Arabidopsis thaliana: one gene and its partners. The protein of the gene in region 3 interacts with the protein of the main gene of each other region in a pairwise test. Each region holds a gene or a part of one and is shown on either strand. Other genes may lie near its edges.

Region 1 (5,342 bases), on a different chromosome or scaffold from region 3:
TAACCTACCACCAATCTCAGATAGTTTCTCCCCAATTGCCTGATATTACGATAATAAGTTGACTACCATAAGACAAGGTACTCACAAGACTCAAAACTCTAACAAAGACAGCTCAAGTGACCTATGAATCTAACCACTTACAATACTTTCAGAAGATAACATATATTTAGCAGAATCTGTTTCATTTTGAGCAAACTCCTTTGTTCCATCATGCAATAACTGTTCAACAATATAGAGTAGCTATTAAGCTACATGTACAATATACCAAGATCAACATATGAAAAAAATTTGATTACTCATATAAATGATTCTCTAGATTGTAAATCCAAAAGAACTCGAAAACACCGCCAATTAGAAGGATAAAACCGACACAGTCATTTCAAGTATTGCATACTTTTATAGTCTGATAGACATTGGCATGAATGACTGGAACATAGCTCTTTAGTTCTCCTTCATCAAATCCCGTTTGGAATAGAAGTTTTATCTGCAAATTAGTAAATTTGTATCATTCAATTAGCAGGATTCATAAGTAAATTTAAGTAAAGAGTACAATCAATTTTCCTTGTGGACTTGCCTGCTTAAAAATTGTAGATTTTCCAGATTCCCCAGCACCTTTACAAAACACAAGTCAGAAAATTAGAGGAAAACTATTACCAAAAGATTCATCAAGGCATGCCATTCACATTTCTAATCCAAGGTCTACATACCAAGTAGCAAAAGCTTCCGAATATGCTTTTCAGCCTTTGCTTCTTGCTCTATCCGTCTTTCGATTTCAGCAGCCTGTAGATTAATACAAACCAAGTTAACTCTTGAAGTATCAGAAATAATGCTCCCATACATCGAGTGTTACAAGAGCTCTTAAGTCAACCTGTGTATTCTCATCAGTATCTTCAGTATGATGTCGACTTCTACTGCAGAGTAAGCCCATGATTGTTTCTATATCCCCACAGGTAATAACATAGAAGTCGAAAACTATCAAGATTCAAGCTCCACAGCTAAAAACAAATACTTGAGCTTCCAGCTACAGTTGCTTCTCATAACAAGACAATGCCTACACCTACTTATGAAACAATCAATACTTTAGCTCAAAATTCATAAATATACATAAAGTTTCACTCACCAAAATAGCAAACATGTTCAAAGAATGCAAGTAAGAAAAAGCATTAAACTTTATAATATATACTGGATTAGTACCTCTCAAATGAAACAAGTTCAGTAGTTAAGAAAATGAGCTCTAAAAGTCGAGTAGCTAACACCATTAAGAAATTCAAAAACTGTGAGATAGCAAATCAAGTAATAGATAGAGTTCACACTTGAACTGCTATAATCAGATCCAAAGAATCATAATTTTCATTTCCAATCTACAGTAACGACGAACTGATCTACAAAACCCTAAACTTGAAAAACAAAACCAATTCGAAACGAAACAGAAAAACAACAGAACAAGGAGGAGAACTAGGACAAGATCTGAGTAATAAAAAACAAAACTTTCATAAAACCCAAAAGAGTAAATTTGGGGTAAGAAGAAAAGTAAAGTAGAATTCACCTGAAGAAGAAAAAGAAATGGAGTCAAAGGTAGTGAAGAAGATATCGGAGTTCGCAAACAAGAAGAAGAAGAAGAAGAAGAAAGTACAAAACAAGGTCTGAGAAGAGAGCAGAAGAAGAAGAAGTAGTACTTCTGCTTCTCCTGTTTCTATTATTGTTTTACCACTTTCTTTCCGCTTTAATGTTTTTGCTTCACTCTTTTGGATTTATTCTCTCCTTTTTATTATAAATACATAAAATGCAAATTATGAATTTAATTAAAAATAAAATAAAAATGGATATATTTTTAATATTTGGTCAAAAAGAAAGAAAGAAAATGTTAAGCAAAGGGGAAGACGAAATTACGCCGAAAGGTCCTGAGAGAGAGAGAGAGAGAGTGGTCAAATGTTGAAAAAAGATGTGCCTCTCGTGACGATAAAGAAGATTAATTACGGAACCTATATGCATTTTTATTTTATATACTATTAAGTTAACCATTATTGGAAGAGAATTACTAAGTGTGGCAAGACAAAACAAATTTGGAATTTTATGACATCAAGTCCTTGTATCGAAATATCTTGATTTTTGCTTTGCAGTTGCATTACAAGCTGGACTCTACTTATATCTAGAATGGGTTTTGCTAGCTTAGGAAATATATTGCAGTTTTGATTTAGGAAAGAAAATAAAGATTCAAAATCGATAAAAACACAACATATCATATAGTACTTTAAATCTTCAACCTACAAAAACATCACATCCGTTAAATCCTTACAATCATTAACATCGACTTGAACTTCTCACAAAATGTTTCCACTGAGAAACGGTCTTGGCGAGTGATGGTATATTTATTGGTTGGGCTTAAATATATTTCAGATGCAAAACCATATTGAATCAATAAATTATAAATACATAGCTTCCCTAACCACTTAAACCACCAGCTACAAAACCAATAAACCCGATCAATCATTATGTTTTCATAGGATTTCCTGAACATACATTAAATTATTTTTCATTTTCTTGGTGCTCTTTTCTGTCTTATTCACGTTTTAATGGACATAATCGGTTTCATATTGTAAATCTCTTTAACCTAACGAACAATTTAATGACCCTAGTAATAGGATAAGAAGGTCGTGAAAAATGAACGAGAAAAAACCCACCAAAACACTATATAAGAAAGACCGAAAAAGTAAAAAGGGTGAGCCATAAACCAAAAACCTTACCAGATGTTGTCAAAGAACAAAAATCATCATCCATGATTAACCTACGCTTCACTACTAAGACAAGGCGATTGTGTCCCGGTTGAAAAGGTTGTAAAACAGTTTGAGGATGCTACAAAAGTGGATGTTAAGTATGAAGCGGCTAAGGTTTTGGATTTGGTCTAGGAGCACATTGGTTAAGCAATATCTTCGGTGGAGATTGAGTTTTTAGAGATAGTAGATACTAATTCATCTATGGAGACATGCAAATTCATCAAAATGCTTGGATGAATTAGAAAAACTAGGTGGAGAATACAGTAAAAAAATTCAAAAAGTGCATATTGTTTGGACAACATTAATATGTACAAATAGTTTACATTTAAATGTATTATTTTACTAATTAAGTACATATAAAGTTGCTAAACTAAACTAATATAATTTTTGCATAAGTAAATTTATCGTTAAAAGTTTTCTTTCTAGCCACTAAACAACAATACAAAATCGCCCAAGTCACCCATTAATTAATTTAGAAGTGAAAAACAAAATCTTAATTATATGGACGATCTTGTCTACCATATTTCAAGGGCTACAGGCCTACAGCCGCCGAATAAATCTTACCAGCCTTAAACCAGAACAACGGCAAATAAGTTCATGTGGCGGCTGGTGATGATTCACAATTTCCCCGACAGTTCTATGATAATGAAACTATATAATTATTGTACGTACATACATGCATGCGACGAACAACACTTCAATTTAATTGTTAGTATTAAATTACATTTATAGTGAAGTATGTTGGGACGATTAGACGGATACAATGCACTTATGTTCTCCGGAAAATGAATCATTTGTGTTCAGAGCATGACTCCAAGAGTCAAAAAAGTTATTAAATTTATTTGAATTTAAAACTTAAAAATAGTGTAATTTTTAACCACCCGCTGCCGCAAACGTTGGCGGAAGAATACGCGGTGTTAAACAATTTTTGTGATCGTTGTCAAACATTTGTAACCGCAATCTCTACTGCACAATCTGTTACGTTTACAATTTACAAGTTAGTATAGAAGAACGTTCGTACCTGAAGACCAACCGACCTTTAGTTATTGAATAAATGATTATTTAGTTAAGAGTAACAAAATCAATGGTTCAAATTTGTTTCTCTTCCTTACTTCTTAAATTTTAATCATGGAAGAAACAAAGTCAACGGACATCCAATTATGGCCTAATCATCTCATTCTCCTTTCAACAAGGCGAATCAAATCTTCTTTATACGTAATATTTATTTGCCAGCCTGAAATGTATACCAAATCATTTTTAAATTAATTGCCTAAATTATTAGAACAAAAACTATTAGTAAATAACTAATTAGTCTTATGAAACTAGAAATCGAGATAGTGGAATATAGAGAGACACCATTAAATTCACAAAATCATTTTTAAATTACCTAAATTATTACAACAAAAACTATTAGACAGAACTAAGTCTATAATGAAACGAGAGATCGTATTTGGAATGTAGAGCGAGAGACAATTTTCAATTCATTGAATATATAAGCAAAATTATATAGCCCGTAGACTTTGGTGAGATGAAGTCTAAGTACAAACAACTGAATGAATTTATAATCAATAATATTGATTATATTGTGATTAGAAAAAGAAAACAACTTGCGTTATTTTTCAATATTATTGTGAGGATTAATGTGAACATGGAATCGTGTTTCTCCTGAAAAAAATATCAGCATAGAGCTTAGAACAATATAAATATATCCACCAAAAATAACTTCAACATTTTTATACAACTAATACAAAAAAAAAAAAGCAAACTTTTTGTATATATAAATAAATTTGAAAACTCAAAGGTCGGTCAGTACGAATAAGACACAACAACTACTATAAATTAGAGGACTTTGAAGACAAGTAGGTTAACTAGAACATCCTTAATTTCTAAACCTACGCACTCTACAAAAGATTCATCAAAAGGAGTAAAAGACTAACTTTCTCCATTTTTTCCCCAAATAACACAAAAGAAGAAGTTGAAAATGGCAGTGTTCAAGAAGAAGAAAACATCATTGACATCTCTGTTCTTGGGGTGTTACAAGGCAAAGAACGCAAGCAAATACGAAGGAGGGGAGAAGGCTGTAATGAAAATAAGAACTTGTCCAGCGTTCAAGAGGCTGTCTTTATCGGACATAAGCGATCCAAGCTCGCCCATGTCGGTTATGGATGATCTCTCTCACTCCTTCACATCGCAGAAGCTTCGTTTGTTCACGTTGTCTGAGCTGAGAGTGATTACGCATAATTTCTCTAGAAGTAACATGTTGGGGGAAGGAGGGTTTGGGCCGGTTTACAAAGGGTTTATTGATGATAAGGTTAAACCGGGTATCGAAGCCCAACCGGTTGCTGTAAAGGCTCTTGATCTTCATGGCCATCAAGGCCATAGAGAATGGCTGGTAACATTTCTTTCTCTTTATGTATGTTTTTGTCTACATTCAAGACTTTTCTATTCACAAGGAACAATTTAATTACGAAGACCGTCTCGATTATTTTATATATTTTTTGAATTTTGGTTTATCTTCTTAATTAGCTATATGAATCTGGCCATTTTTCAGTATGTTATTAAATATAT
Region 2 (5,342 bases), on a different chromosome or scaffold from region 3:
GTCTAAACGACGATTCAGATTCAGAACAAGTCAAGATATCTCAAGTTTTTCACTGTGAGGGTTTGTTGTTATGTATCTTGAAAGATGATAACTTTAGTCTTGTTGTTTGGAACCCGTATTGGGGACAAACAAGGTGGATCAAACCCAGATGTTCTTTCGAAATACCCCAGGGATGTGACATGTACAGGTACGCTATTGGATACGACAACAAGAGACGCAACCACAAGATCTTGAGGTTTATAGATTATGAATTCCATTACCCTCGAGACAACGTTGTTTTGTGGTATGAAATCTATGATTTTGAGTCTGATTTATGGACGACTCTTGATGTTACTACTCCACATTGGTTGATAAATTGTGGTAACCGTGGTGTTACTCTCAAGGGAAACACTTACTGGTGTGCTAAAAAAAGGAACTCTGACCTTTTTCTCAATGCTGATCATATAATCTGTTTTGATTTCACAAGTGAGAGGTTTGGTCCGCTTCTGCTTTTGCCGTTTAGTGATTTGGATGGTGTTGTTACTCTAGCTTGTGTTAGAGAGGAGAAGCTTGCGGCTTTAGTTTGTCACGAGGATGTTGTTGAGGTTTGGATTACGATTAAGATTGAGGCCAATGAGGTATTGTGGAGCAAGTTCTTGACAGTGAATGTTGATTTGGGTGATGAGATTCCGAGTTCACTGACATATGGTAGTTTTTTCATCGACGAGGAGAAGAAAGTTGCTATGATTTTTGATAAAACTTTGGATCGCGGCGACACAGTTCACATCATGGGAGAGGCTGGATATGGTGGACAAGTTGATCTCGGAGAACCGGTTAATAAAAGACGTTGCCCACTTGTGTGCTCTTATGTTCCGAGTTTAGTGCAAATCAAGAAACCTGCAGGATTCCAAAGGAAACAGCAAAGCAAGTTAGAAAAGCGTCAATATGTTCGAAACATATCGAAACTTCGCGCACTTAAAACCCAAAGTTCTTGGACATTAAGTATGTCACTTGAATGTCATCAACAGTAAGATTTATGTTTCTTGGCTCGTACTTCGATTTATTACTGCTATGTTTTAGACTGATACTTTACTAAATATTACATGGCTTCATCAGGAGCTTGGTAGAGTGAGAAAGCATTGCCAGCCGATTTTTGCCCGTATAGCTCCGTCTCAGTTTGTTTCGGGCCATTGTTGAAAGGACTTCCTGTGCGCTTTTTTGTCGATCAATAGTTTAGACCGCTCTTTTTTGTTGCCACTTTCTTGCTTAGGGGAGTCTTTAGATCGAGTTTTCTTCATCTTCTTACTAAGAGCCTCATCGCTTAAGGTTTAGTTGATGCGATGAATCTCGAAAGGATTATGCTTCCATGTTTTTTTCCTTTTTTTGGCATGGGACCATGTTTGTAGGTTTTGCTTCTTGTAACTCCTAAACTTTCATTTTATATGATATTTACATTCTTATCAAAAAAAAAAATATATATATTACATGGCTTCATGCTAAAGGACATGATATTAATCAGATTTTTAAAATTTAAAGATGGTGGAACCTCAGGTTTTCGATAATATAATTTAGAGATAGCTTCTGTTATCTGGCCTAGTCTCTACAAAGTTTTTAAAACCGAACCAGCGACTCGACTAGATGGCATTGTCGATATATCTATCTAGCAGAATTTCAGTAGCAGAGTCTTTTTAGTGAGAGGGTCAGGTGCATTATCAGTCCTTGGAAACATCAAAGACAAGAGCAAGTTGTTCATGCTCAAACTAAAAGATTACCATCCACCATTTTGGGATATATATTCAACTTCTTACTCTTTGACATCTTGGAAGTCTTCCACATCCTCTTCTTCTTAGGTCGTTATCTTCATAAACATCTTCTTCAGTCAAATCTGCCTCACCTTCTGAGTAGCAAATATTTTAAACCAGACCATTTGTACTTCTGACTATTCTTCTGTCCGATATGTATCTCTTTAGAAGATCTTGGTGCATAATGGCCTAATGGGGATCATCATTAATTAGGAAATAAAAATCAATTCTTATATGTGCTGAGAAAAAAAAAAAAAAGCTTTGAAGTTAAAACTAGAAATAATAAAACATATTGGATTAAAGATAATTAATGTGGATCCATGGAATGATCGATCATGACGAGAAATAAAATATTATGGGGAATATATAAAGAAAGAAAAATGTGCAAGATGATTAGTATGAAAATAACATTCCCTTAGTTTCACAATATAAGTGTTTTGGAGAAATTTTTGTTTCGAATGTTTTCAAAATTTTATGCAAATTATAGATTTTTTTATTTTTATAATTATATATATATATTATATGGTCTATTTTATGATTGGTTAACTTTTTAAAAAAATAAACATGAGTTATTGAGGTTTCAAGAAGAAAGTTTTATGTTTATGGCCATCAAGACTGAAATAATGTTTTGTTTTTCTTATTTCCGTCGACTTTCGTCTTTTTCAAAATCGCAACTTTTATATATATTTTTTTCTCTCGCCTTTCGATCATCGGAAAAGCTCTTTTTCAAGTCTCCCCAACTCATAACTTTGAATTTTCTATTTGCCCCCTCATAAAATTTGCTTCTATTCTCTTTGTTTGTTGGAGTTCTCAAGATCTGTTTGATTCTGAATCCTTGTAATTTTTGTATCCAACCAGTAACAAATGGGGTTTTGTGAAGGTTTATGAGTTTCCCATATTCAAATGGCGATCTTTTAGTCTGAGTAAAATTGTGGTTCTTATCTGTTTTTGTTAAAGTTTCGATTTTTATTTTGAGGGTTGAATTCGAGAAATTTTGATGGAAGCGGGTAGCTCCAATTCGTCGGGTCAGCTATCCGGGCGGGTCGTTGATACAAGAGGCAAACACAGGATTCAAGCTGAACTCAAAAGGCTTGAACAAGAAGCTCGATTCTTAGAGGTATTTTACTCTCCTCTTAATCTTAAACCCTTTCTTGTTTCGACGTGCTTGGGCCTTTTGGCTGATTATATCATATAATTACAGATTGGATCAATCTGTTGTTTTTGTGCTTCGGCTCTTTTTGGATGGAATAGTATAAATCTGAGTGGAGTACGGTAGAGACTTTCAAAGTTTGAAACTTTTTTAGTTTTGGGAATCAATTTGATTTAGGGGTTTTTGTTGTTGTTGGTATTCAATGAGTGAAAAAAAAAAAACAGGTTTTGTTGTAGCAGTTGGTATTGTGGGGTTGCTTTTAGTGAGTTAATAGTACTTGTCTCTTGATATAGTTCCTTTTTATATGCTTAACAAGATTGGATCTTAGATTAATGGAATCGATCTGACTTTAAGAAATGTAGTGTAGAACTGTCTCCTTTTAAAGAGATTTTTGTGATGCTAAATGTTACTTGAGTGAGAGAGTAGATCCTTTGCGAACAATATGCTTCTGTTGATAAAACAAATCACCAGGGTCAGTAATTAGGAAGGTTCAAGAATGGTGAGGAGTGAAACTGAAATGTAGTTTAAGCTCTTGAGCATATTTCATTCAGGTGTAATAATATCTTGACTCTTGATCCCTTGAGGTTTAAGCTCTTGTCTACGTAGCTGTTATGACATTTGTGAACTCAAATGCTTGCTTAAAAGCGTTACAAGGTTTTAACTTTCTTCCTTCATTTATTATATTCAGGAAGAGCTGGAGCAGCTTGAGAAGATGGACAATGCATCAGCATCCTGCAAAGAGTAAGAACTTGTTACATAACTGATATCCGGTTCACGAATAATCATTCCACAAGCTTGACTAGTTTCTCGAATGGATGCAGGTTCTTAGACAGTGTTGACAGCAAACCCGATCCTCTTCTTCCCGAGTAATTCTTCTTCTGTTTTCTGATAGTTTCATTTCAATAGACTGTGAGATGATTAGGTCTGATATGTTTGCTTTTGTGACTACTTGCAGAACAACAGGTCCGGTGAATGCGACATGGGATCAATGGTTCGAAGGCCCTAAAGAAGCAAAACGATGTGGCTGCTCCATTCTTTGATCTTCCTTTCCTTCTCTCAAAATATTTTTGTCTCTACTTCTTCCAGAAGAGTGAGTTTGTGTTTTTACGTTCCCGCGGCAGTGAATTTGATGTAATTGGCAAAAAAAAAAATTGATTCATTTGTGCAGTAAAAAATCTATTGATCTTGATGTGTCTCTTAATTTAAGAAGACCACAGTGCCAAATTCACGCCACCACAAGAAAATCTAGCACAGTGGCCGTCGGTGATCCCCACACCAATGCATCTCAGTTCCAGATTGTCTTGGAAAAGTTCTCGTTTCTCGATGGTTTACATGTCGTGTTCGGGCAAGTTGTTGAAGGACTCGACGTGCTCAGGAGCATTGAAGACGAGGTTGGAACTTTGAACAGGATTCCTTCCAAGCCGGTGGTTATCGCAGACTGTGGTGAGCTCTGAGAGAGGCTACAATGGTGTCTTGTCTTGTTTTAATGGTTGCTCTGTTTTTGTTTTTAGTTCGTTTGGATTTTGAGTTTGGTGGTAGTTTTAAATCTGAAACAAAACAAGATTTTTTTCTTCCATATATGAAAATTCTGGACACAGTTTCAATGAGAGCAACCAAAATAGTTGAAGCTTGTTACATAAAAGTCAAGAGGATACAATGTTAAAGAACATATGAAGGAGACAAAAGAAACAAAGAAGAATAGTACGTACTCTCTCTGATTCAGTTCTGGTTTCCCCTTAACTCGTGGCTTTACCGGTAACTTTTTGGGCAATCCAACCGAGCCCATCATACAATCCTTCTCCAGTAACCGCACAACTTGCTTGAATATGCCAATCATGGTTCTTGATACTGTGAAGGTTAAGTGCATCCGTGATCTCAGCAGGAGTCATTGCGTCTTTCAGATCCTGTTTGTTTGCAAAAACTAGTATGACCGAGTTTTGAAGATCCTCATGACCAAGTAACCTGGCTAGCTCATCTTTCATGAAAGAGATTCTGGCTCTGTCTGTGCTATCTATAACCACAATCACAGCATGTGTTCCACGATAGTATGTTGCCCATGAAGTTCTTAGCCTATCTTGCCCACCAAGATCCCATACCTAAAGACAACATATCATAAAAGTAAACATCGCCTCAAATATTCGATTGCCAGTGTCCAACAGTTAGTTTTTGACAGGAAACAATTCAAACTTTAGTAAGTTTAGTTACGTTTATATTCATCATTGAGTTTTGACATATAAGAACACATGCAGATTGTCATAAAACAGAGATGAATTCATCTCAGGCCATGACTTTGACCACTGTATAAAGATGTTCCAAACAGTCCTCTGGCAAAAAAACTAAGCTAATGGGAAATAGCAAACAGTTCCTCCGGTATAACAAACAAGCTAGATAAACAACATCTACAAAAATTT
Region 3 (5,342 bases):
TCGCCTTCACCTGATTCAGATGGGATTAAGATATCATCATCGGCGGTGAAGTTGTAGCTCTCTCCAATGGCTCTTAGAAGCTGATAAACTTCAAACATGGTTGGCCTCTGCTTTGCTATTTCCGGTAGAACGCAGTTGCATGCTACTTTGAGTACTTTGAAGATTTCATCATCCACACCGTTCCCAAGTAAGGACCTGTCGATTGCTTCCTGCAGTTTTGATTCACTTGATAGCTTTGTAATCCATTCCACGAGGTTACCCTTGAAGTTTTCTTCCTCAGCTTTTTCTTCAGATACTTTTGTTACACTCGTTGCTTTTTGGCCCGTTACTAGCTCTAGAAGCACAACACCGAAGCTGTAGACATCTCCTTTTGGAGTTGCAACCATGGTTCTTGAATACTCGGGAGCAACATAACCGAAATCCCCAAATTCTCCATTGACGAATGTGCTTAAATGGGTATCAATTGGGTTCATCAGCCTAGCTAGACCGAAATCCGAGATCTTTGGCTCAAACTCTGCAGTCAACAATATGCATTTCGAGCTTATGTTGCGATGGATGATTCTCGGGTTGCAGCTATGATGAAGCCATGCCAATCCTTTTGCCGTCCCAATCGCGATTTTCAGCCTTGAAGGCCAATCCAAGGGCTTGAAGGATTCTTCATCTGCAGGATGTAACTGATCATAAAGGTAACCGTTTGCCATGTACTCATACATTAGAAGCCTCTCCTTATTGGCAACACAATAGCCCAAGAGAGGGACTAAGTTTCTGTTTTTAACAGAGCCCAAAGTCTTCATCTCTGCATCAAACTCTTTCTCAGAGCGTTGAGAATCCTGCAACCTCTTTATCATAAGTAGAGACCCGTCTTCAAGCCTACCTTTGTACATAGTTCCTGTTCTTCCTGTTGCAATGATATTATCTTTCTTGAATTCCTCTGTTGCCTTCATAAGATCGCTTAATTTCATCTTTGAAACCGATTTCTTAAACATGAAAACCTGAACATTCACAAAAGCACCAAACATATATCATAAATTTAGAACATAACCACATACAGCAAAATTCAAATCAATGATGTTTTTACCTTAACACCTTTCTGTCCTTTCAAGCTCTTTGCCCATCTGTTTCCTTCAGGATCATCCTGCTTCTTCCGAACAGCACCCAATTTACGGAAATAGAAGAACAAAACAACCCCAACGACTAATGCTGCTGCAGTCAGTCCACCAACTGCCGCTATAATAACAACTTTACCACGAGAGCTAGAAGCACTCTTACAGTCATCTAGAGGCTTACCACACAGATCCAGGTTATTAGCAAACAATTCCTGCTTAAACTGCAAGGTTTGGTTGAAATTTGGGATAGGACCAACGAGACGATTGTCAGACACAGAGAATGTTTTGAGCCGTCCAAGTTGCGCTAGCTGGGGAGGAAGAGTACCCGTGAACTGGTTATGCTGAAGCATAAGAGTGTTCAAAAAGGTAATGTTGGAGATCAACATAGGGATTTCACCAGAGAAGCTATTGTAGGAGAGGTCTAGAATCGTAACAAGTGGAATCAAGGTGCTAATGTTGGCTGGTAAAGGTCCAGAGAAGTTGTTTCTAGAAAGATCTAAACCAGTGAGATCAGCACATAGCTTAACCGCAGGAGGAAACACTCCTCTAAGACCATAACCAGATAGCTTAATACTCAAAACCCTATTCTCATCATCATGCCAACAAGTCACACCACTGAACTTGCAGATATAACCAGCAGTCTCGTTGCCAAAAACCCAAGTCGATAAATATCTATTTGGATCCTCTACTTGAGATTTAAAGGTCCTTAAGCAATCTATGTTGGCCTGATCCGCGTCAACCAAGCTCGAGAGTAGCAGCAAACAGAGACAATTATAGAGCCAGATTACAAAAACTAACCTACCCATCATCATAAATCCACTAAATTCCACAAAATGTGTAAAATCTCTATGAACTACAGCAACAAAATCAAGGGTTCTCTTCGATGAGCATCAAAATCCTGTAAGCAAATAAAAAAAAATCAAAACTTTATTAGCAACAACGAAAATTGGATTATCGCCAGCGAATCAAAAAGACTAAAGCGATCTTTAAAATTGAAGTTGACTTAGAAAAATTTACAACAACTTACGAATCAAAATCAGAAACACAAAACGAAAGCTTTGGTCTTTGTAGTCGTCGTTGTCGTGGTGGTGGTGCTCTTGTTCATAAGTGTTGAAGAGCACAATGAAGAAGGAGAAGAAAATCGCATCTGTGGCTAAGTGGTTATGAATGATGATGATGATGATGATGAAGAAAGGAGTTGGGAATAATTTAATAAAGGAGTCGTCTTTGTGAGTGAGTTGACTGGGACTTTGGATCGTCGTCGTCGTCTAGTGAAAGTTCGTGAAGAATGGGGCAAAGAAAAGAGAGACACTGATGATGAGAACGCAATGACTCCCAACAAAAACCAAATCGGTCTTTGCGCGTTAAATGTTTTTTTTTTCTTTCTTCTCTTTTTGACTTTTCAACATCATCATATATATTATCTTGTTTGTTAGGAGATGGACAAATTTTTCTTCCATTTGGTATTTTTCGCTTTTCATTCGTTTTTAGATAATTCTGGATATTTTGTAAATGGTTTTGGTGTTTTGACCAAATCAAAGAATGGAATATGACATTTACAAGAAATGTTTTCTTGGTATTAGTTTTTGACAAATACCAATGCATAATAATTTGTATCACAAAAATTGAATATCATGTCACATATTTAAATACTTATTAGGAGTAGTACTTATTTTGTTGTTGTTGGAATCTTTAAATTATGGGTTGACAGTTATATATATATATATATATATAAAAAGCTTGTTCATTTAGCAGATGTACCCGCCAACCACGGTTCAGCAAACACCCCAAAATGTTAATTCGTGTTGTTTATGTATTGTCAGTTTGTAACATAACGATTTTAGAAATTTTACAGAGTGTTTATATACAGAGACTCTAATACCATGTAGACTAAGAGTATATCGAATATATGAAACAAGATGATTACAGAGTGTTTATATACAAAGACTAGAAAGCTACTGAAGGAAACTTAATATTGTATACAATGATTATGAGCAATTAACGTGATTGACGATATTGATTCTCTTCATTATCTTGATTGATATGATTATCCTTGATAGTCAGTTTGTAACATAACGATTTTAGAGAGGAGATAAACCACGAATCACAACCTCTAGTCTCTCCCAAGCCAAATCCGCCATTCGTGACCTGAACCAACTTCGAAATTCATTTGATATTTGTAATGTTTTGTACCAAATCATTCACCATATATAATACAATTGTAGAATTCCAACAATTTGGGAAGTTGTAAGATTTATTTACTCTTGGTTTAGTCTTTCCTCTTTGACAAATACCAATGTATAACCAAACTATATTTTCATTGTTGCTCTTATTAAGAAAACAATCATATATAAATTTTGCATTCAAAAAAATTAGACACATAGTTTCATCCTTGGAGACAATTTATATGATCGAAACATCCGATGAAGAATATCAGTCTATGAAAGATTGTGCAATCTAGTTTTTTCCCCATTATAACATAGCCTTAAGCATGAAGCCAAAGCTTCGTCAACAGGTTAAAAAGATTGGGTGTTTGGTAAAAAAAGTTAAGGAATTTAAAGAGTGATTGATACACATAGATGGTGAATATACCAATTAATAGAAAAAAAGGAGGAAAGAGTAAATTACAAGTTCCCGGCAGTTTCAGACAAACTCACGTGACGCAAACTTTAAAGGGTTTGACTAGAGCCACATAAGCTGTCTGGTCCGAACCAGATATGATAGTGAAGAACGAGCCATTAAACCACACCAGTCTCTCTCACGTGCCAACTAAGTAAAATTGGGTGTGCTTAATAAAGTGTCTGTTATAAATCGCTTTGCTTCCTTTTATTTTGCCTCTCTTCTACTTTCCTCTTTCCTTTTTAGGGATTTCACTTTCCTCTTCTCTCTCTCTCTCTCTCTGCCTAACCTCGATTTCTCTCGATCGCTCTTCACCATGGATCTACGATCATGTGGTCCTTCTTGAAGTTTTTTGATCTCTTCTTCTTACGGGTTTTTACTTCGTTTGATTTTCCTGGTAAAGTTGCTTTTTTTTTATCTTCTCTTGAGGTATATACTTTTTTTTTGTTTTGAGTTCATGTTCGTGTTCTCTTCACTGTAGCTAGGGTTTGTTGATTTCTCCACAATATAGCTCAAAATTTCTGCTATGACCTTGAATTTTGGTCGTGAAGTTTGTTTATGTGATGGATTAAGCTGGGATTTCATAGAATCACTGAATCAGCTTGCTTGTTTCTACTCTCATTTCGTCATCTACTCTTCTCTTAATCTGTATTTGTATTATTTCAGCTAATTTTTTTATAAGTACGTCTGATTAGTTCTTGAGGTTGAATTATCTTTGTGACTAAAAAATAGTGTGAATTTTTCTTGAATGGATTCATTTTTTTGGGGGTTTCTTGTTCATTTGTCTTTACTTGCCTTGTAGGCCATTTTCTTACATAGTTGTCCACTATGACTTGTACGGTCTTGTTACAGAGCTAATTTGTTTTTATCTTTAACGAGTGATATTGTCATTGGATAGTTTTGACTGATCTTTGTTTATCTGTTCTTGATGATTTTTTTTTTTGTAGTTGTTTGTTGTTCAAGGATCGAGATTTCGTGGAGCTCTCTATTCGCAGCTTGGAGATTGGACTTGTTTGAATTGGTAACAATATTGTGTCTGGCCTCTAATGTCGTTGTACTCATGTTTGTTTTTATTTGTTCGGGACTTTTTAATCATTACTTAAATTTCCGTTTTATTTAGGCTCTTTTGTGATGGAGGATACTCGGTCAGTTGCTTCACTCATGGACTCTACATCATCCAAGATTCAGCAGCTTCAGAAGGCGTTTGCTGAACTTGAAAGTCAGCGTGCTGTAACACTTAATCTGAAGTGGAAGGAACTTGAGGAGCATTTTCATGGGCTTGAGAGGTCTTTGAAGAGAAGGTTTCATGAGCTTGAAGATCAAGAAAAAGAGTATGAAACCAAAACAAGGAAAGCTCAAGAACTGTTGGAGAAAAAGAAGGCAGCTGTTGAGGCTAAGGAGAAGGCGGCGCTTGAAAGGCTTCAGAAGAAGAGAGACGCAGCTATGTTTACTATAAACAGTGCTTTGGATAAGTATAACAACGCTCCTGTCAGTAAACCTTCTGTTGGTGAACGTTGGCCACAAAATGCTGTAGAGGATTCATCCAATGTCTTTGCTGCTGATAGTATTACCGATGATAATCCGGATGGTATTGTGCAAGATGTTCAGATCTCACCT

Evidence for each region.
Region 1: the proteins of BIR1 (region 3) and GP ALPHA 1 interact in a two-hybrid assay, tested with the Arabidopsis thaliana proteins (one study listed by BioGRID).
Region 2: the proteins of BIR1 (region 3) and AGG2 interact in a two-hybrid assay, tested with the Arabidopsis thaliana proteins (one study listed by BioGRID).

Annotation. Positions count from the first base shown.
Region 1 is NC_003071.7:11,193,673-11,199,014, reverse strand, and holds the start of GP ALPHA 1 (G protein alpha subunit 1), read right to left. Parts: upstream 2,020-5,342; 5' UTR 1,547-2,019; exon of another isoform or gene 1,195-1,546; intron 1,058-1,194; 5' UTR 929-1,057; coding exon 869-928; intron 781-868; coding exon 708-780; intron 613-707; coding exon 575-612; intron 485-574; coding exon 395-484; intron 220-394; coding exon 142-219; intron 40-141; coding exon 1-39. Other genes in the region: ARSK1 (root-specific kinase 1), read left to right, coding at 4,756-5,166. UniProt on the Arabidopsis thaliana protein: Exhibits a fast rate of basal nucleotide exchange. Guanine nucleotide-binding proteins (G proteins) are involved as modulators or transducers in various transmembrane signaling systems.
Region 2 is NC_003074.8:8,131,697-8,137,038, forward strand, and holds AGG2 (G-protein gamma subunit 2), read left to right. Parts: upstream 1-2,380; 5' UTR 2,381-2,778; coding exon 2,779-2,898; intron 2,899-3,619; coding exon 3,620-3,672; intron 3,673-3,752; coding exon 3,753-3,797; intron 3,798-3,886; coding exon 3,887-3,971; 3' UTR 3,972-4,508; downstream 4,509-5,342. Other genes in the region: AT3G22940 (F-box associated ubiquitination effector family protein), read left to right, coding at 1-1,010; ARFC1 (ADP-ribosylation factor C1), read right to left, coding at 4,668-5,027. UniProt on the Arabidopsis thaliana protein: Guanine nucleotide-binding proteins (G proteins) are involved as a modulator or transducer in various transmembrane signaling systems.
Region 3 is NC_003076.8:19,604,615-19,609,956, forward strand, and holds the start of BIR1 (BAK1-interacting receptor-like kinase 1), read right to left. Parts: upstream 2,534-5,342; 5' UTR 2,134-2,533; intron 2,005-2,133; 5' UTR 1,919-2,004; coding exon 1,079-1,918; intron 993-1,078; coding exon 1-992. Other genes in the region: AT5G48385 (FRIGIDA-like protein), read left to right, coding at 4,857-5,342.